4 linked regions of the Arabidopsis thaliana genome follow. The protein of the gene in region 2 interacts with the protein of the main gene of each other region in a pairwise test. Each region holds a gene or a part of one and is shown on either strand. Other genes may lie near its edges. The genes, in order: AT5G35460, AT1G21940, AT5G03545 and NRAMP2.

Region 1 (6,359 bases), on a different chromosome or scaffold from region 2:
TCGTTCTGGATTTTATTCATCTAAAGAAGTTAAGTTTGGGAGTACATTTGTCAAAGATTCCTGATCAACATCAATTACCTCCCCACATTGCACACATATATTTATTGTTTTGCCACATGGAGGAGGATCCAATGCCAATTCTAGAAAAGTTGCTTCATCTGAAGTCGGTTGAATTAAGACGCAAGGCTTTCATAGGGAGGAGAATGGTGTGCTCAAAAGGCGGGTTTCCTCAATTACGTGCTCTACAAATATCTGAACAATCGGAGTTGGAAGAGTGGATAGTAGAAGAAGGGTCGATGCCATGTCTTCGTGATTTAATTATACATAGTTGCGAAAAGTTGGAGGAACTTCCTGACGGACTCAAGTATGTAACATCCTTAAAGGAACTGAAGATTGAAGGAATGAAGAGGGAGTGGAAGGAGAAATTGGTTGGAGAAGATTACTACAAAGTCCAACACATTCCCGATGTTCAATTTTTCAACTGTGACGACGAACAAAGAGAATAACCAGTAGCAGGTAAAAAATAAACGGTATAATAATGTTCACTTTTCAAAGTCATGTGGACAGTCTCAACTTTTATACATTGTTCTAAAATCGATCATCTTTTAAATAGATGCAGGAAAGAACAAGAAGCTAGTCAAATTCTCTTATATTGGGAGAGATAGAGGCTGCTTCACAAGAGTCATCTACTGATAAATCTCTGGAATACAGATTCTGAAGTACTACTGATTACGTTGGAGCTCTCGCTTTCAGTGCATCGTTATGTTGTGGCTCAGAACTATATGCTTTTTATTGATGTTTGTTTTCGGTGTGGATGCATGGAACGTGCTTGAGAACTCTTTCATAAAATTGAGAAACGAACCTTGTTTTTTTTGTAGTTCATTGTAAAAATTGGATATTTATGTTTATACGAATTTGTTTTGTTTTCTCGTTTGTGATTTAACACAGTTAGCTAGCTTTTGTAAGCTTTATTTACATCAAATCTGGTTAGATTTGTTTTTTATCACATTTAGGCTTAAGTTTTGTTAGTTTTGCACCTCTTTTACTGTGTACGCATAGTGAAGTCATGGTTGAACCAAGACGAGCAAAACTGATGTACAATAAACAAAACAATCTCATTTTGTACAAGTTTTTTGTTTCATTTTAATTTCTTTTATCAGTACTGTGTGATATTTGCACTCGTGACTTAGACTTGGGTCGTTGAGGGATTAGTCGATTTCTTGTTCAGGAACAACATAAGATTGTCAGAACAAAACACCAGTTTTTGTACTTTTGTTTTTAAATCTTGTTTCAACTTCAGACAGACCCCCTTATTCTATGGCTTTAGTATATTTGTTTACTTTTGAACAATGTTCAAAAAAGTGTTAGGCGATAAACGGGCGATGACCCAACGCCTAGCGTTTAGAACGCTTAGTCGGGGTTTAAGTGATTTTAGGTGGTTTATCCGTTTATGACATAAAACATTTTAAATATGATATTATAGATAAAAATCATATAAAACTATATATTAGAAAATATTAATCGGATCCTAATCAAAAATTAGATAAAAATGTTTCTTTAATTTATATCAACAATATATGAATGTTTATAACCATGTGTAGAAGTAAAACTTATAAAATTTAAGCAATATTAGTTAAAAATAAAAAAAATATACTAAAACGAAATTTATGTTATTTTAGGCAGTCGAGATGATTATTTAGGCGTCAACTGAACGCTTAGCGGCATATAAACGACCGTCTAGACCGCTTTTTACAACACTGCTTTTGAATCTTTCAAACTTCATCCAAAAACAAAACTAAAGCTTCTGGAACATGTGAAACCTTGTCAAGAAACTCTAGTTTTGAACTCATAAAACCTAGTTAAGAAGTTTTTTTTTTTTGTCGGCACCTAGTAAAGAAGTTATACCACAGCATTCTTTTTTTACTTTTTTTCTTTAATACAAGATGCAATTAAACAAAATGTTCCTCTAACTATAATAATGTAGAAAAATACGTGTACGCTAGGAAATTTCTCGACCCGCGCAAAAGAGGGTCCTAGAAGTTTCAACTTTCGACACGTGGCTCCTTCTCAGTCTCTCTTATTAAAGTCTTTAAATTATATAATCACCAAAGGCAATTAATGGAATTAATTTACTTTGAGGACTAATATTCCATCTGATTTCCCAAGATAAAACATAAAGTCCTTATTACTTAATTATGAATGTAATTATTGGATTACATGTAATTAATCACCACTTTATAAAACTGAACAAAAATAGTAACGAATATAAAGAGTTTAATAATGATTTTTGGGTCATTTTCCTTCACCAAATTTTTAATTCCGCATAAAGTAAAATATCCTGAAAACAGAAAAATTCAGTGTTTTCGGATTCTCCTTTAAAAACGACAAAAGCATCTACAGAGAAATCTGACCGCAATAATGGCGAATAACGAAGATTCAAACTCCAATGGACTAGACTCGTTTGATGCTGTTAAACAACGTTTCAAAGATCGATCAAAGGTACAACATCAGATTCGATTTTCACCATTTTTGATGTTTCTCTTTTGTTCCAATTTTGTTGATTTTGACTTTGTGGACCAATTGTTTTTGATTTTGACAGAAAGTTGTTCAGACGAGAGAGTTGTTGTCTAAACAAGCGGTACAAACGCGTGAGATCTTATCGAAACAAGCCGTTAAGATCGCTAAACAAGCCGAAGAACATGAGAGATTCATCAATAAGGTTAGGTTTCTCTCTTGATTCTTCAATCATGTTTTGATTTTAAGTTACTTTGGTTTGAAAATGTTTGGTTCTGTAATGTTTTAAAGGTGACACATCTCGTTGGTGTGCTTGGATTTGGAGGTTTTTGTTTCCTACTTGGTGCAAGTGAGTTCAAAGAAATTGTGTTTTTTTTTTGTTTTTTTTGTGTTTTGTTCTTAATTCAATGTTGTTGATGTTGATGATGTTTTCGTTTTCAGGACCTCAAGACATTCCTTTAGTTTACTGTTTCTTCTATGTGATCTTTGTTCCTCTTCGATGGATATATTACCGGTTTAAGAAATGGCATTATTATCTTCTGGTAATGTCTCTTTTGAGGATTTGGAATTAAGAAACAGTCGTTTTGATTGTTATTGAAACAATTTTTGTGTATGTGATAGGACTTTTGCTACTATGCCAATACAATCTTCTTGGTTGATCTTCTTCTGTATCCTAAGAATGAAAAGCTTTTCATGGTTTGCTTTTCCTTTGCTGAGGTATGCTTTTTAACTACATGTATGTATATGAGTCTTTTGTGTCATTGTGTGTGCTGATTTATTTTATTGGTTGTGTCTTGTGCTGCAGGGACCATTGGCGTGGGCGATTATTGTCTGGCGTTGCAGTCTGGTTTTTAGTTCGCCGGATAAGATTGTTAGTGTTCTTATACATCTCTTACCTGGTGAGTTCTATAATCTTCTTGTTGACAGAAGAAGATATGTTATTGATTCATATTGCTAAAGTTGACGGCTTTGATTAAAGTAGTTGTATGAATTCTTAGCTTGTTGTTCCCCTCTCAACCGTTTTTAATTCAAACACATGGTTCCTTGTTGTAATGCATATGATAGATATAGTTAAGCTTTATGCTCTCTCTCTCCATTGTTTCTTTATTATTGTAATGAATTTTGGTTTCAGGGCTCGTGTTTTTCACGATTAGGTGGTGGAATCCAGCGACTTTTGCAGCTATGCACCCTGTAGGCACTGATCGTAGGGTTTCATGGCCTTATGTTGAAGACAAAGCTTACCTATTCACATGGCTGTTTCTCGTCCCCTTAGTCGTTTATACTCTTTGGCAAGTGCTCTATTTTCTAATCGTCAATGTCCTGCGTAGGCAGAGACTCCTTAGAGATCCTGAAGTTATGACTTCTTACAGGTATCTCTTGTCTACGCCGTATGTTAATGTTCTCCTCATATTGATCGCTAAGGTCACAGCATAATGTAATGTGTTCTTACCATAGAGTGAACACTTGTATTGATGGAATCCTTTGGTATGTGCAGAGAGCTGTCGAAGAAAGCTGAAAAGGCAAACAATAAGTTGTGGCAGCTGAGCGGTCTGCTAGGGGATCAGAATCGTATATGGATGTACATCCTATTCCAGGCCATCTTCACGGTGGCAACCATGGCATTGACCGTACCGATCTTCCTATCTTATAGACTTCATGTGATCTTTCAGATCCTAAAGATTTCTGCGGCTGTGTGGAACGGAGGGAGCTTTTTACTAGAGGTAATGCCACGGCAAGTGATCCAGAAAGAGAAGAAGAAGAAAGCTGAGATGCAGCCGATAGAGGAGCAGATACTACATCATGAAGCTGTGTCACATCCGACTGAGAATGAGCCAAAATCTACTGAAACATGATCATGGTTCTAACAAAAAGGTACATGTAAAATAAAGTTTTCAAAGGTGAATCATGATTGGTGTTTTTTTTGTTCCTCATGTTTTGTTCTATAACTGTTTGTTTCTCTTGTTGCTATACATCATTCTAAAAGCTTAATGTATGTGAATGATCTTGTAGTTTATTTTTTCTAAAGAAACTTGTTATTTACTCTTTAGCCAAAGTTTTGATCCTGTTTCGCTAGGACATTCTGGCCTTAAAATTGCATTATGAGAGATTTAACTATATTTTTAACGCGTTTTCGAGAAAGGAAAATCTTCGGATTTCAGCGAAGTAGATTGGGATAAGTTCTCCTTGAGACGCGGATTTTGTTTTCTGTTTCTGCTGTACAAAACAACCATCACTAAAGATCATAACATTCATGTGTTTGATAGTGCATAGTTCTCGAACATGTCGTTACCAGCCGCGGAATAAGCTTAATAAGTATGCCGATAGCATTATGAAATCCATCATGTCCGATACGACTATTGTTCAGTGGAGATGAAGCTTAATAACTTGAGTTCCGCCAAAGAATTCACTCAAAAATCGACCATGAAGAGGATTTTGATCGATGCAAATCGCCCCTGTAACGAGCTGATTTGGAAGAAGACTCAAGAACCACCAATTTGCACCGTACGGTCAAATTGAGTCAAACCAAACCGAAGAGCCCCCTGATGTACTTGAAGACTTTCTGCTGATTATATTCACCCTCATGAAAAGACTACACGACGTTTAGAAGCTGCGACTTTAACTTAGCTCTCGACGCCATCACCGAAGATCCTCCATTATAGCCTAACGGCTAGAATCATCACGCTCCTCTCTTTATTTCGCATTATTCGGTTTCCTTTTCTAAGTTTTAGACCATTGTTGTACTTTTCAATTTAAGCTCTTTGATTCTCTACTTTGTATTCACGCTTTGATCAATTGAAATTCAGTTTGTTTCTTGCTTCAATACTTTGTATCTTGAATCAAATCTGTTCTTGCGAGTTCTAGGTTGTTTGTAGAATCAAATACTTCTCATCTAAAAGCTTCCATCGCTCGCTTCTAAGCATTGGACCCGTGAGCCTTGTCTTGGTGGAATCCAGGACGTGTAGTCGTGTATCACATGAAATGAATGGAATAAGATTTTGATTATATAATCTACAAAGTAGGTCGCATTAAGATACATGCCAAATACCGCACTGAACAGAGAAAGAAAACAGAAAATCAATGTAAATATTGTTGGTGTGTCCTTGACTACAATGTTTTTTGAAAAATTATCTTGATCATGTGTTTTGTCAGGTCCGAGTTGTCCATGATATCAATATTCATGATGGTAATCGATCAACCTTTGAGAGTATAGTAACAACACTTGGCATATTTCTCACTTACGCTAGTCTCATTTTTTGTTCATTCAATGAAAAAACTTAATTTTATGAATAAAATTTCTCGAAATGCGCTTAAGACCTTGACAGTACGACAATCTATATTTACTAAACTGAGAAAAAATTGCCAACGCTGTTAAGGAGGTTGAGGTTGGACATGGGTGGTGGCCGGAACCAGCAAAACTGATCCACTAGCACGGCGAATACAAGACCTTTTTTTTGTGACACTATCAATGGGTTCGAGTTGACTATTCGGTTTCCGTCTCTGAGCCGATTCTAGCGACTTGCTTGATCCGCAATAAATCTCCCAAAATGCTAATTAACATTTTTAGATTCTAATATTTTGTTATAAGCTTTTGAGACTGTACACATGAGATTTTAAACGACCAAAGCTATCTCGCTAATTAACATTATTATAGATTCTAGTTATTTTTTATATTAAGATTTTTGTATAAAGGAAAAAAGTAACATATGAAATAAGAAAATATATGGATTTTGGAAAATATTTCTGAATCTTATTATATAAAATATGGTTTTCAAAATTAATAACTCATAGGATTGTGCCACGTGTCAAATTTATTGATCAGATATTGACATGTGTCAGAAGAGATT
Region 2 (5,206 bases):
AAACACAGTATGATTGTTGTTCTCGAAATCAAAACATCCTAAAGTGAAATTTTCGATCTTTTTTGTGGGTGCAGTGCATTAGGGACATGGGTATTCTCAGTCCTAGGCGCATTGGTTGCAATCCCGGTAGGCATCAAACGCAAGTCTCTTGGGCCACTCGTGTTCTTTGGCACAACCGGAACAATGCTCGACATCATCATTGGTGTAAGTCAATGCGAGAGAGAACACGCAGAACACCAAATGAAGTTACTCCAAGACTCTCAAAATGCCACAACAACAACCACCAACACAGAGACTGAAGAAAGCTCTTCCATGTCCTAATCTTTTTTACATCTTTCTCACTAAGACTTTGATGTAATTTGATGCCACTCACAAGTTAAACTTGTTTTAAGATATTGTGATTATCCCATGTATCTTGAGAAAACAAAGAAGAAAGCTTTTCATGATTACAACTGATTCATTGACATTGTCATCTCCACCAAGAAATTGCAACACACGAAGCAATAGAATTTAATACGATAATATATCTGAAACTGTTACGAGCAATGTATATGAATCGATAAATCTTGGACTCCAATATCAAATGGTATTCAAAAACTAAAAAGGTTCAAAGTGAAAACTTTTATCAACAAACTCTTGTTCAAACTAATGAAACAAAGAAAGATTATTATAACGATAAACGATGAATCTCACTAAAACGACGGCGTTCCAAGTCGAAAGCAGAGGGAATGTTGAAAGTTAAACTTGATTTTGAATAAGTTTAATTATTGGATCAATTATCCAATAATTAATTATGGCCAAATCCAAGTTCTAGAGTTTTCTCTAGAAATATCATCATTTCCACCTCCTTAAAAGATTCTAGAAATTTTCTAGAATCATCTTCCACCTCCTTAAACATAAAAATCTAGATACTCTAATAGAATAATCTAGATAATTTGAATAATGTAATCTAAATCTTATGTAAGAACTCTCTAGACTTAGGATTAAAATATTTTAGATATTTTGTAGTTTGGAGGCTATAAATACCTCCTCCCCCTCTCAAATGTTGCAATGTTGTGAAGTTATCTTCAAGTTTAAAGCAAAGTAATAAAAGTTATATTTCCTAAAAAACTCTCTCAAAACACTTAAACACTTTCTCCATTACCTCTAAAAGAATTTTACTCTAACAGGGAAGATTCCGGCGAACACAAACTCATCCGACGACGAAGAACCGAAGATAAGCGGAGAAGCAGAGCGAAATCGCTAGGCAGATAGAACCCAACGTAAGTTTCATGTCCGTCTCTTCTCGTAGTCTACGCATCACCACCGGCGCAAACGTGAGTCCAAGCATCGATAAACCGATTCTGATAATCACCACCATAAAGCACATATCGGCCATCTTGTTCAGCTCTGATGCACAGTATAACGCCACGTGTCCGTTCTTCGTCGTCTCCGTTAGATATGAACCGTCGAAACCAGAAGCTCGTTTGCAGATTCCGGTGAAAATGGCGAGCGAAACTGCAAGAAAGAAACGATCGTTTACACGACGAGTTTCTTCTCTTCTCTCACGACCTCCATCTTCGTCATCCATTGCGATCTCGTAGTCTTGCAGGAGAAAATGGAGATTTTGAAACGATGATTGATGAAAAAATCAGAATCCGGGAAAAAGTGAGAAAATTTGTCTCTGAGAGGTTTTGGAGTTTGTTAAAGAGGGAAAGAAGAAGGGTTTATAACCTAACCATGGTTAAAATTTTAACCATGGACCATAGTTTATTTTTTAACCTTGCTTTTTCTCTAACCATGGTTTATAATCCGTACGTGTTGAAAAAGTTTCAAGGAGAGAGGTGATGACTGATGATATTGAGTGGACGAAGGACTTACCTCTTTTGGTCACTGTTAAAAATTGGTTTCTTGAATTACTGGTTACAAAATTTCGTTCGTTGCTGAACCGGAAATTGACAATTTTGGTTACACAGAATTGGGACCAAAAATATCTGCATGGTTTAGTATTTGATCATATAACTACCTATAAAAAGACTAGAAATATTTTATATTGTTAGATAATTGTGAAATTTTGAACAAAAAAAAATGTTAAGGGTTAAATATGGTCTTTTTTACTAAGTTTTATTCATCGGTTTTTCTAAAATGTTACTACTTTGGGTAAACAAAAGTTAAAGCAGTTGCCTGATTACGACACGTTGAACAATGGATTGATCTTATGTAAATTTAATTGATAAAAAAACAGTTCATGACTGCATTTTGCAGCTAATTCCTTAAACATTTTGAGCTAAAATTTGAAACTATCATCAAGAACATGAAGTAATTAGTCTTAATCCGATATCATAAACGGTTCACACACACATCGATTTCTTTGTAAAACTAATTATTGTATTCAGGGATGCGATCCGAAACTTTAACGCATTTTTATCTATGCAAATACAGTATGAAGTGATAAATATTGCAAGTTGTAACTACAATATCAATTAATATTCAGAAAATCTTGTTTAAACCTTTTATTCAAGAAACCAAAATGTTCACAACACAAATCCAAAGAAATAAACGAAAAGCAGATACAGAGCATCCGCGATGGTCTCACTGAACGATCACAGGTCCAAATATTCAAACCTCTAATCAAAGAAACCATAATGTTCAAAACAACAAACCCATCAAAGAAAGAAAAAAACGAAAACTAGATTGTAGATAGAAAGAGAGATGATAAATGTAAGCATCGTCGATGGTCTCACTAAAAGACACAGGTCCATAGTAACGGTGGAAGAAACTCAAGACACACCACTCACCCGGTGACGGAGCAGCGAAGGTACGCTAAGAAAGCAATCGTGAGGACGACAAAAATCAAACCCACGAGCAGCTGCACGTCACACTCTTCTCGTACTTTTCTCATCTGTTCCAGTTCCACCACCATCGGAGCAACAATGATCTTGAGAATCACAAGCATAAAAGCAAGATGCGCCCACAAGTTGAACTCCATCGCCCAAGAATACGCCACGTGTCCGGTCATCGTCGGGTTTGGATCTGAGCCAGCAGCTGCTCTTTTGCAGACTCTTGTGGACAGTTCAAGCAACACTGCGACGACAAAACGACCGTTCAATCTACGAAGCTCTTCACGTCCCTGTCACGATTCTCTTCACGTGGCTCAACAACTCCTTCCATGGCGAGAGATTCTTGCAGGAGAAAAGAAAAACAAGATTTTGAGACGAAGATTGTGAAAATGAAAACAGATTCGGGAGAGAAAATCTATATAATAAGGGTTTTTGGAGTTTATAAGCATAAAATGTTTCTTTTATTTAAATTAACCACGGTTAAAGTTTGACCGTGGACCATGGTTAATTGGTTATAGTAATCGTACGTTTTCTAACGGGACGTGAGTCTTGATGACTGTGTTGAAAGTTAAACTTGATTTTGAATCAAGTTTAATTATTGGATCAATTATCCAATAATTAATTATGGCCAAATTCAAGTTTTAGAATTTTCTCTAGAAATATCATCATTTCCACCTCCTTAAAAGATTCTAGAAATTTTGTAGAATCATCTTCCACCTCCTTAAACATAAAAATCTAGATACTCTAATAGAATAATCTAGATAATTTGAATAATGTAATCTAGATCTTATATAAGAACTCTCTAGACTTACGATTAAAATATTTTAGATATTTTGTAGTTTGGAGGCTATAAATACCTCCTCCTCCTCTCAAATGTTGCAATGTTGTGAAGTTGTCTTCAAGTTTAAAGCAAAGTAATTAAAGTTCTATTTCCAAAAAAACTCTCTCAAAACACTTAAACACTTTCTCCATTACCTCTAAAATAATTTTACTCTAACAAAGTGGTAGCAGAACTTGAAGATCCTAAAGATGGCGAGTAACAATGTTCCCTTCCAAGTCCCGGTGCTCACAAAGAGCAACTATGATAATTGGAGTCTACAAATGAAGGCTATCCTAGGAGCACATGACGTGTGGGAGATAGTCGAGAAAGGTTTCATTGAACCGGAGAATGAAGGTAGTCTTTCTCAAACTCAAAAGGATGGTTTGAGAGACTCAAGAAAGAGAGACAAGAAAGCTCTCTGTCTAATCTATCAAGGATTAGATGAAGATACGTTCGAGAAGGTCGTTGAAGCTACGTCGGCGAAAGAAGCATGGGAGAAGCTTCGAACCTCTTACAAAGGTGTCGATCAAGTCAAGAAAGTACGTCTTCAAACTCTAAGAGGAGAATTTGAAGCACTACAAATGAAGGAAGGTGAACTCGTCTCCGACTACTTCTCAAGAGTGTTGACGGTTACTAATAACCTTAAAAGAAACGGAGAGAAGCTAGATGATGTGAGAATCATGGAGAAAGTTCTTAGATCATTGGATCTAAAATTTGAGCATATTGTCACCGTCATTGAAGAAACAAAAGATTTAGAAGCTATGACAATAGAGCAACTTCTTGGGTCATTACAAGCTTATGAAGAAAAGAAGAAGAAGAAAGAAGATATCGTCGAACAAGTCCTCAATATGCGAATTACAAAAGAAGAAAACGGCCAAAGTTACCAAAGAAGAGGTGGTGGTGAAGTACGAGGACGAGGTCGTGGTGGATATGGAAATGGACGTGGTTGGAGGCCACATGAAGACAACACAAACCAAAGAGGTGAAAACTCATCAAGAGGTCGTGGGAAAGGACACCCAAAATCAAGATACGATAAATCAAGTGTCAAATGCTACAATTGTGGGAAGTTTGGACATTAGGCTTCTGAATGTAAAGCTCCTAGCAACAAAAAATTTGAGGAGAAGGCCAACTACGTTGAAGAAAAAATTCAAGAAGAAGACATGTTATTAATGGCTAGCTACAAGAAAGATGAACAAGAAGAGAATCATAAGTGGTACCTCGATAGTGGTGCAAGTAATCACATGTGCGGGAGAAAAAGTATGTTCGCGGAGCTTGATGAATCGGTGAGAGGAAATGTGGCTTTAGGAGATGAATCGAAGATGGAGGTAAAAGGTAAAGGAAACATTCTCATTCGATTGAAGAATGGAGATCATCAATTTATATCCAACGTTTACTATATTCCGAGCATGAAGACAAACATCTTGAGCCTTGGACAACTCTTAGAGAAAGGTTATGATATTAGATTAAAAGATAATAACCTTTCAATAAGAGACCAAGAAAGCAATCTCATTACCAAGGTGCCAATGTCGAAAAATAGAATGTTTGTCCTCAACATTCGAAATGACAT
Region 3 (4,312 bases), on a different chromosome or scaffold from region 2:
CATGGCACACAGAGAAAAAACTTTGTGATACATATGTAGTGGAAGTTTGCTATCTAGGACGACATAAAGTGTGAATTTTCTTATGACCAGTTTATGGTATAAGATTAGATGGTACAATCTCATGAAATTTGTGTCCATGGACAGATTGAGACAATTTTCAAAGGGAAAGCATGCCTCGAAATTAGAGATTCTGCGACGGGCTTGACAAAGCGGTTGGCGCAAACTGCTCAGGAAACATTTGGTGATTTTGAAGAAGCTGTTGAGAAAGATGCTACAAAGACTGCTGTTCTAGATGGAACTGTCCACCCACTAACAAGCTATGTCATCAATTATGTCAAGTTTTTATTCGAGTAAGTACATCATATATACTCAACTTATTTCCTCGAACTATTTGCGTATTGTTCTTCTCCATACTGCTATTTGCGTATTGTCCCTTTCCACGCTTTAATTGATGATCATTGGTGTCAGCTACCAAACAACATTGAAGCAACTTTTCTTGGAATTTGGAAATGGAGATGACTCAAATTCGCAGCTAGCATCCGTAACGATGCGGATAATGCAGGCGCTTCAAAACAACTTGGACGGAAAATCGAAACAGTACAAAGATCCTGCATTGACACACTTGTTCCTGATGAACAACATTCATTACATGGTCAGATCTGTGCGCAGGTATATTATTTTTCTCGTTTAAACTTTAAAGGCTGATCTGGTTTTATTAAAAAAATAAAAGAACGCACTCATTTAGCTTTATTCATATGATAATTTTTCAGGTCAGAAGCCAAGGATTTGTTAGGCGATGATTGGGTTCAAAGACATAGGCGTATCGTGCAGCAACATGCAAACCAATACAAAAGAGTTGCCTGGACAAAGGTTCTGTCTATTTGTCTAACTCTGTAAAGAAACACTATTATATAAAATTTCATTAAATTGTTACTAAGAAACTGTTACATATTTTGTAGATACTACAAAGCTCATCGGCGCAAGGTTTGACCTCATCTGGGGGAGGAAGTTTAGAGGGAGGAAACAGCAGTGGAGTTTCAAGAGGATTATTAAAAGAGAGGTAAGTCCTAAACATGTAAAATAAACACAGTAATTGGCAAATGTTTATATATTTGGTAATGATGATAAATCTGTAAAAAAAAAATGGAACAGGTTCAAGATGTTCAATATGCAGTTTGATGAGTTGCATCAGAGACAATCGCAATGGACAGTTCCAGACACAGAGTTAAGAGAGTCACTAAGACTTGCTGTTGCTGAAGTATTATTGCCTGCTTATAGATCATTCCTCAAACGCTTTGGGTAAAAATCTCCTTTCTCTCTTTACTGCGAAGGCTTTTCTAATATTTGATTGAAATGTAAAAAAACCTAAATGAGATTTTAACCTATGATCGATGCAGGCCTTTGGTTGAGAGTGGGAAGAATCCTCAGAAATACATAAAGTATACAGCTGAAGATCTTGAAAGATTGTTGGGTGAGTTGTTTGAAGGAAAGTCTATGAATGAACCACGCCGGTAAAAAAACAACTAAAAGATGATGAAAACTAATTGTGTAAGGTAAATTTCTATCAAACTCTTCTTTTTTTTGGCTTACCTTACATAACTAGGTTCGTTGCTATTGTATATGCAGTGTCAACTTTTCGTTTTTTGTATTCTACTATTCTTTGGTTGGAATGAGAATGTGTAAATTACTTGGAGACAGAGTTGTTTCCTTTTGTATACGTTAAACGTTTTGAAATAACCATGGCCTAATAAGTCTAATCTCAACTCACAAGGATATGAAATCTTTTTTCTTAGAATGAAATTAATCGGAAATCAAAATCCTAGGCGTAATTTATAAAAAAAAATATGCAGTGAAGGAGCTAAGTTATAAGTTGATATGATTGACAATTGCTTTGAGACGAGCTTTGGTACTAAAGATCGAGCCAATAATATTTGTCCGAACAGCTGAACTAAGCTTGGGGACAAGATTGTCATGCGGATCAATTCTGTTATTTTCTTAATGGATTTTAGGTGATTAATCAGTTGTTATTGAACAGAACAAGACAGATAGAGCTCTACCGACTTGCATACTTAAATGAAAGAAATATGATTTATTAGTAAAATAAAGAGTGATGAGATGGTTTTGTTGTTTTAAAACACACATGTTTGGTAATTGGCATATTCCTTTTAGAAGATCCAAATTCTCCCAACATCTTTACATGGACTTCCCCATTTCCATCATCTCCTTCCACTTTTTTCCCAAAATAATATAAAAAAATGATAATTTGAATCGATGTAATGAGTGTATTCAACCTCTTGTATAATTTGTCTCCATGACCAAAGACAAAGAGAGAAGCCATAAAAACCCTAACAACATCCATTGTTGAAACTCTCTTTGGCACAACACCAAACACACAAAATATGGCCATCCCCTAAAGAAACTGAAGCTCAAGAACCCTCTGAATCTATCAGAAGATCTCACCAATAAAGGGTTTTGAGAGGTTCAAGTTTCTCTTTATGGGATGGCCCCAAACACAAGAGTACTCACAAAAGGTAAGAAGAAGAAGAGATCTCTTGGAGATTATGATTGTGAATGTTCGTGTGTGGGTGTTGTGTAAATGATCATCATCATCATCATCATCATTATCCAATATCATAATTATCAATATGGTGATGATGATGATGATGAGGATTGTGTGTGAATGGAGCGATGAAGATTGCATGAAGGTTGATGAAGACAAGCTTGATGTGTCTTTTGTTATCCCTCGTTTGGGCAACTTCGATCCTTTGGCAAGCTTCGGTTCCCCTCGGAATCAGCAGATTATGATTACTATAGCTCTTATATGTTTATGTTCCGTGTTTACTTTGTTTCCGGTTTAGTTTGGTTTATTGTCTTTAATTTCGTCATGTTTGTGTTGAATGTGTGTTGTTGTTATCCCGTGTGATGCACCATTCAGGTGTGTTCCTATGTGTGTGTGAGGAATAAAAGAATATTCGGTTTTGATATCTAAAATCAAACCCCACTTCTACCTTTCATTAATAGTGAGTGTCTTCAAACAATTTTGTTTTAGCAATCTGTGTATACCTTTATCAAAAATACTTTTAAGCTGGCCCATTCTTAGCCCATTAATAGTCCAGTTTTAGCCAATTGAAATCGGGTAAATTTAAACACATTCATTCTTCTAATATGAGCATCTATGAAGAAACCCAAGAGAGCCCTAATCAAACCGTGTCTGACAAGCTATTAAATAAAAAGTCGTATAAAGTAAAACAAACTAGAAAACCTACTACAGAAAACGTAGGGGTATCTAATTATGTTTTTTTCCGAATAATACATGATTATTGTTTCTAGATAAACAATCCATAATAATAATATTAAAAAAAAAAAAAGATTAGATAACCCTAAATAACCATTATGTTATTCTAAAGTGTTTTAGAAAAAATTAAAATATAGTCGCCCATCTTTTGTTGCGTGTATCCAGCTTGGTTGCTTCTTCAACTTCTTCTTCTCCTTTTTCCTCTCACTATTGAGATCAGTCGCAGTCATCACGAGTTTCTTGACCTCTAGTTTGAGTTCCAGAATCCGTTCTTCAGAAGTCTTCTTCTCCAAGGAAACCATGTCAAGCTTTGACTGCAACCAATCCAGGTTAAAACCGGCTTGTGTCAGATCACACATATCCTTTGAAGCTTTGCTCAATTCTGCTTCGGTGAGATAACCAAGAGGCGTGTGGTAAAGTATCCCGATGATGTCGCAGAGAAGGTTCATTTAAGTATTCCTGAGAGCTTGGTTTTGCACTTTGACATGGTCTGTAGTTTCTGGATATGTCTGAAAAATCCACTTTGCTAACGTTATGTGACAAGAATCAATGGCAAAACCATTGACTCTAATCTTTCTTCGTCTATGCAACAACGGAATTTGGTCCCCCATAACTTGGCTTTTGATTTCGGTATAGGTAATTAATGTCAGAGCAAAAAGTTTTTTTTGTTTTTTTTTTGCTTCATGAATGATTGTTTTAGAACTCGCTCTCTTTATATAGAGGAGGCAGAAGCTTTCTAATTCCTAAACCAAATCGAAATCGAGTTTGTTAATTCTTTTAGATTTCGGTTTAATTTTAAAATAAGATAACTTTAAGATTACAAAAAAGGAAATCATATATATATATATATATATATATATATATATATATATATAACTGTTTTTTTTTAGATTTTGTTTGAACTAGTAATAATTAGTGAACCTGAAAATTCGCATAATGTTTTCCCTTTCTGAAACGTCTCAAATTTATCAATAATTAGTGGATTATTTTTAAAAGTTGCGATTGCTTGATGGGCTG
Region 4 (5,963 bases), 9.6 Mb from region 2:
ATGAAGAGATAGGTCCTCCTAAAGTTGAAGATTTTTGTTACATTACGGATAATACATTTACTAAACAAGAAGTGGTGTCGATGGAGGCGGATATACTTCTTGCTCTGCAGTTTGAATTAGGAAGCCCAACCATCAAAACATTCCTAAGGTTCGACTCTGAAACAGTCTGGTGTTTAAACTTATGATTTCATGGTTTTACTTGCCCTTGTTTTGATTGTTATTCTCTTTTTTATGTCGTGTTTGTGCAGACGGTTTACACGGGTTGCACAAGAAGATTTCAAAGTAAGCTCAAAATCGATGTACCTGTAAACTGTGGCATTTGCATCTCATAATTTCTATTGTTAAATCTTCTTTTTTTTCATGCCTTTGCAGGACTCACAATTGCAGATAGAGTTCCTTTGTTGCTATCTATCAGAATTGAGTATGTTAGATTACACCTGTGTGAAGTATTTGCCATCTCTTTTGTCTGCTTCAGCTGTATTTCTTGCCCGGTTCATCATCCGTCCAAAACAACATCCTTGGGTAAGCAAATTAAGAACCATGACAGGTTCTTATACAGAAAAAGTTCTTTATATTCTAAATCCTCTTCTGGTGATGCAAACAGAATCAAATGCTAGAAGAATACACAAAGTACAAAGCAGCTGATCTACAAGTGTGCGTGGGTATCATACATGACTTGTATCTAAGCAGAAGAGGAAACACTCTAGAAGCTGTTAGAAATAAGTACAAGCAACACAAGGTAAATTCAACAATTCAATGATGTAACTTTAAACTTGTGATATATTGCAACAAGAACATTCTAATATCTGATTCTCTTGGTACAGTACAAGTGCGTTGCGACCATGCCTGTTTCACCGGAGCTACCTCTTGCTTTCTTTGAAGATATTACCATTAGAGGAATGGCGTAAAAGAAGCTTGAAGCTTATGTATTGGAAGTGTTAGTTACCTGAATTTTGGGTTGTATATATCTGTTAGAATGGCAGATTAGTATTGAGTATTATCTCTTTTAGCGTATGTTCAATGATTTTTGCTAACACTAGTTAAGAAACTTTTTTTTTTTTGCTTGACCATTTTTTCAATGGTTTATTAGATTTTTATTGATTTGTTTTCTGCTTTTTTCTATGATGTAAAAGCCTCTTTAAATCATATTGGAATGTGCACATCCTCTTAACAAAAACAAAAAAGTACAACAAAGACTTTGCCACTACATATTTGTGATGTTAACATTCACAAAAAGCTAAGCTAACTCTTATCACCACTTTGGCGTTTCAATATGTATAAGACTATAGTGGATGAAGTTTGTTTACTGTATCTTCTTGACATGTAACAAATGGTCTTGAGGGCAGTTATTTTTGTGCAGCTACTAGCTATTGGAGACGGACACTCTTTTGGGAAGTTCTATGGAAGAGGATGACCAAGGAGAAGGAAAAAAGTTGCTGTGTGAAATGAGGTACACTATAAAGGCGATATAAGCAGTCGTCCAGACGCAGACCGTAACTCCAAACAGAAACCCGTCGACTTCTGATACAAAGAAATCCAACAGAAGATACCCATTGATGATCATTACAAGTGCAGCCACAGTCCAAGCTATTCTCTGCAATGTAATCAATAAATCCAATCAACTTACAAATACTCACTCTTCATGCTTCTCTATTCCATTGAAGGACTTTCAATTCTACATGTTTACTAAGATAATTGCACAAACAGTGAAACTAAAAAAGTCGAGACACCTAAAACGATAAGACTCAACACTAATTCACCTATTGTGGTATCCTATGGAGACTTGTAGTAAAAGAAGTGGAAATTTACCTGGAGAATAGGCCCAATCTTGAAGTCTCCCATAATTTCTTCTTTGGATACCAAGGTTAGAAGAGGGAGAAGAGCAAAAGGAATTTGTACAGACTGAAGGACATTGAGCCATTCATTCAAAACATCCAAGGAAGCTTCAGAAGTATTGAACACGATTGCCACAATCATTGTAGGCACAATAGCACAGCTTCTTGTTATTACTGCCCTCATCCATTTCTTAAGCCGGAGATTCAGAAAACCGCCCATTATAAACTGTCCAGCATATGTACCAGTTATCGTACTGCTTTGTCCGGCTGCTAACAACCCGATACCCCAGATATAAAGAATCGGAAGAAGCCCGCCTCCAAACTTTTCTTGAAGATACTGACCAGCATTAACTAGGCCAATGTTATTAGCTTTCTCAGTTCCATAAAACCCCTTTGCAAAGACAGTAGTCACAAACAAGTTAATCATGAAGGAGATGAAAAGTGCGACGGATGACTCGATCAAATAGTAATTAAGCGCTTCTTGAACCCGGGATTTCCTCTTCGGATCGATTTTCCTCGATTGTACAAGAGCCGAATGCAAAAACACATTGTGAGGCATTATAACACAGCCAACAACACCTACAGCTTGCCTAATTGTCTTTGAGCTAAGTCTCGGTAGTAAAATACCTATCCATAAACACAAAGATTTGATTTTTAAGCACTCAAATCAAAGCAAATAAAGTGAAATTCAAGAGTAAAAATCTGAAATCTTTACCTATCATAAGTTCTTTCCCACTCGGTTTTGTTTCACCAAACATCCAAGCAAAGGACAAACCCATAGTTGCGATCAAAACTGCAAAAACAGCTTCTAACTTCCTCACACCGTAATTCTCTAGAAACAAAAATAAAAAACTGTTTGCAACAAATTCATTAGCCAAGTTTTCAAAATACAAAAAAGCAAGTTTCTTAATTTCAGATTCGATCACAAATCGTTAAACCAATTCTCTACTGATTTGTGAGTTTGGATCATCTTAGCAAAGTTTTACAAGAAAACAGCCAAAGTAAAAGCAAATTCTCAACTTCAGATTGAATCATGAATCTCTAAACCAAGTTTCTACTGATTTGTGAGTTCGAATGATCCATACTCAAACTCAATACCGCTAAGATGATCCGCAAAGTTTTAAAATTTCAGAATGAATCATAAGATTCTCCAAACCAAGTCTCTACTAATTCTACGAATCCAACATCTCTAAAGAACGAATAGAGTATCGAAAGGACTCACCAATCGGAAGCAGTAATAACAACACCAGCCCAAAGAGGCAAGAAGCCACGGCTAAGAATCTGAATAGCAATAGCACTACCAATAACCTCTTGAATATCAGCACCAATCAAAGCAAGTTCCGCCATAGACCAAAGCACATACCTAGCCCAAGTAGGATACTCATCACGACAAAGCTCAGCTAAATGACGACCAGTAGCTACACCGACTCTAGCTGACAACATCTGAATCAACAACCCCATAGCTGTTGCCCACATTAGTAGCCACAACAGAGAATAGCCAGCGATTGCACCAGCTTGTAGATCTCCTTCTAGATTCCCTGGATCCAAAAACGCTATACTCATTAAGAAACCTGGACCGGTGAATAACCAGAGCTTCCGCCATGAGAATGGCGGTGGTGTGTCTCCGGTTGTTGGATCGTCGGGTGATTCGAAATCGACGATTAGGATCTTTTCGTTTGTTTCGAAAGCCGCTTCGGATTCGGAATCGGTGGATGGGAGAGATTGTGAAGGAGGAGGAGGAGGAAGAAGACGGTCTTCCTCTTCTTCGAGATTCTCTTTGACGTCGTTTTCCATGGAGGAAGAGGGAATATTCGGTGAGGGTTAAATCGGAATATTCTGTCGGTGGTGGTGGTGGTGTCGTCGACGTACCTGAATTTTGAATTGGAGGGATAAAAGAAGAAGAAGACGCAGGCACTTAATCAGATGCTTTTTAAAAAAGAGATTAATGCGTTTCTTTTTCGTAACTTTTTGGTACCAGATTCAACTTTATTATATTAATGCCTAAAAAAGAAGAAAAACTTTATGTTATAAATTTGCTTTGAAATTATGTATTTAGTGTAGTGTTGCCATAGTTGTATTGTCACAAATTTGAATAAAGCTTTGCTTTTTAATGACGTTAATTGAATACAAGGTAGTGAATAAAGTGTGTGTTTTATACATTTTTAGATCCATTGCTTGATCTATCTCTTCCTCTCTTTTATAGATCACAATGTGTGAAACTAAATATCCCACACCAAAAGTTTATTGAGTTTCCAATATAAGATTCATGATTAGTTTTTTAGAGCTTCATGAATAGCATAGTTGATATGATTGTATTACTCACATTCCAAAAATTTATGAGCAGAAACTCAACCATTGATAAAATGTTTTTTTTTTTTTGATGCGATGCAAATTATGAAAATTTAACCTCCTCATCCGAAAGTCTTTTAACTAGAACTCAGTTTTAATCTCATCAGAAATTACTGGTTTACATTCAATAAGCTTACTAAATTTTTTTGCTGAATTTTCCAAAGTGAACAAATCATGAGGATTTTTAGTTAAGTGAATATTTAGTGACTATTTTTCTTTTTTTCTTTTTTTTTTGTATCATGAGGATATTTAGTGACTAGTATTTTTGTCAATCCCTTCATGTGTGTTTTCATCACTCATTATTTAAATCATAAAAACATGTTATTCGTTTTTTTTGTGTGTTTCAACTTTCAAGCATGAACATAATTAGTATTTCTACTGTACCTTCTTTTACCATATTTCAATGAGTATCTACATAAAATAGCCATGGATTCAAAAAAAATTAAGAGAATAGCCATGAGCTACAGGGGTAAGTCGGAAACACATGTAATTTTACATGTATAACCTTAGACATCAAAGCGACAAGACACTGTTTGGGGAGCGTATGATTCTGGGTTTGAAATTTGAATTCTATTGCATTATTCGGCCCAAGTTTGTCTCACGACCAAAGTAATAACCCTAAAATTAAAAAAAAAAAAAAAAAAAAAAATTTTTCTCACCGAAAAAACCTCTCTCGGCGGCGATTAATTTCATCGTCGTTGCTCTCATCTTTTCGATCCAAGTAGTAGTTGTTTCTAGAAATTGATTGTGTTTCCGATTATCCTTTTCAAATCGTCTTCTCGTTGCAGTCGCCGGTGACAATCGAAGGATTAATTTTTGGTCTTCCCTCGCCGACGATTTGGGTAAGTAGAACCACTGATTTCCGATTATTTACAGTTGCTCTTCTTATTTCTCTTCCCCTATACCTTTAATTGCATGTCAATCATCGCTTGTGTCTAGATCTAAAGTTCGGTTCGTTGTTAACTAACCCTAATTTTGTTTCGTGTACTGTTGATGAATGAAAGTTAGGCGACCATCGAGAGTTTGCGGCTAAAGTCTCTGTTTTTTTTTTGGGAATCCTTCTGTGCTTTTTTGGAAAACACATGAGGTTTGTAAATATTGATGTGCTTTGTTTGAATAACCCACGAGGTTTGTAGATATTGCGTCCTTTATCTGTGTTTCTTACATGCAACTAACCCATTTTTTGTCTCTTACTATTCACGAAAGAAGATTAGGCGATATCGGAGGCTTTTGTGGCTGACGCTGTGGGTTTTGTTTGAAAAACACTTGAGGTTTGTAAATATTGTCTTTTGATCTGTTCTCTTTTATACTATACTAACCCAAATTTTGAACGTCTTACGTTCCATGACTGCAGATTCGGCGATATCGAGGATTTTGAACGTCTTACGTTCCATTCATTTTCGTTTATTTATCGCCGATCTTCTTCTATTTCTTCCCCTTTATACTTCAATTGCATAGAAAATAACGATTGTGGCCAGATCTAAAGTTCGGTTCTTTTTTCCCTCTATCTATATCTTCTTCTATTTCTTCCCATGTATACTTCCATAAGTATCTTGCATAGGGTTCTTACCTGTTGTGTCCAGATCTAAGTTTTGATTCTTTTTTATTTATTCTCTACTAACCCTCAATTTTTTCTTAATCTCTCTACATGAAGTTAGATAAGGCGAGATCTGGGAATTTCCTCAAACTCTTTGGATTCTGCTTCGTCCGTCTAGGGTTTTTGTTTAAAAACAAGAGGTTTGTTCATATTTTGCATGTTATTTATAGTTGGTTCATGTA

Evidence for each region.
Region 1: the proteins of AT1G21940 (region 2) and AT5G35460 interact in a protein complementation assay, tested with the Arabidopsis thaliana proteins (one large-scale study listed by BioGRID).
Region 3: the proteins of AT1G21940 (region 2) and AT5G03545 interact in a protein complementation assay, tested with the Arabidopsis thaliana proteins (one large-scale study listed by BioGRID).
Region 4: the proteins of AT1G21940 (region 2) and NRAMP2 interact in a protein complementation assay, tested with the Arabidopsis thaliana proteins (one large-scale study listed by BioGRID).

Annotation. Positions count from the first base shown.
Region 1 is NC_003076.8:13,670,180-13,676,538, forward strand, and holds AT5G35460 (uncharacterized protein), read left to right. Parts: upstream 1-2,309; 5' UTR 2,310-2,418; coding exon 2,419-2,499; intron 2,500-2,599; coding exon 2,600-2,719; intron 2,720-2,805; coding exon 2,806-2,863; intron 2,864-2,955; coding exon 2,956-3,056; intron 3,057-3,135; coding exon 3,136-3,231; intron 3,232-3,319; coding exon 3,320-3,413; intron 3,414-3,646; coding exon 3,647-3,884; intron 3,885-4,009; coding exon 4,010-4,367; 3' UTR 4,368-5,324; downstream 5,325-6,359. Other genes in the region: AT5G35450 (Disease resistance protein (CC-NBS-LRR class) family), read left to right, coding at 1-506. UniProt on the Arabidopsis thaliana protein: Glycerophosphocholine acyltransferase (GPCAT) that utilizes acyl-CoA to acylate glycero-3-phosphocholine (GPC), forming lysophosphatidylcholine (LPC).
Region 2 is NC_003070.9:7,713,978-7,719,183, forward strand, and holds AT1G21940 (uncharacterized protein), read right to left. Parts: upstream 2,999-5,206; coding exon 2,839-2,998; intron 1,585-2,838; coding exon 1,193-1,584; downstream 1-1,192. Other genes in the region: AT1G21930 (uncharacterized protein), read left to right, coding at 75-321.
Region 3 is NC_003076.8:892,402-896,713, forward strand, and holds AT5G03545 (expressed in response to phosphate starvation protein), read left to right. Parts: upstream 1-2,180; 5' UTR 2,181-2,645; coding exon 2,646-2,858; 3' UTR 2,859-3,116; downstream 3,117-4,312. Other genes in the region: EXO70A1 (exocyst subunit exo70 family protein A1), read left to right, coding at 145-350, 469-669, 771-870, 960-1,060, 1,153-1,299, 1,398-1,515; AT5G03550 (MATH domain/coiled-coil protein), read right to left, coding at 3,412-3,744.
Region 4 is NC_003070.9:17,307,680-17,313,642, forward strand, and holds NRAMP2 (NRAMP metal ion transporter 2), read right to left. Parts: upstream 3,827-5,963; 5' UTR 3,630-3,826; coding exon 3,058-3,629; intron 2,688-3,057; coding exon 2,551-2,687; intron 2,463-2,550; coding exon 1,810-2,462; intron 1,595-1,809; coding exon 1,364-1,594; 3' UTR 1,124-1,363; downstream 1-1,123. Other genes in the region: CYCA3;4 (CYCLIN A3;4), read left to right, coding at 1-148, 249-282, 373-522, 605-739, 825-908. UniProt on the Arabidopsis thaliana protein: Seems to be involved in iron uptake.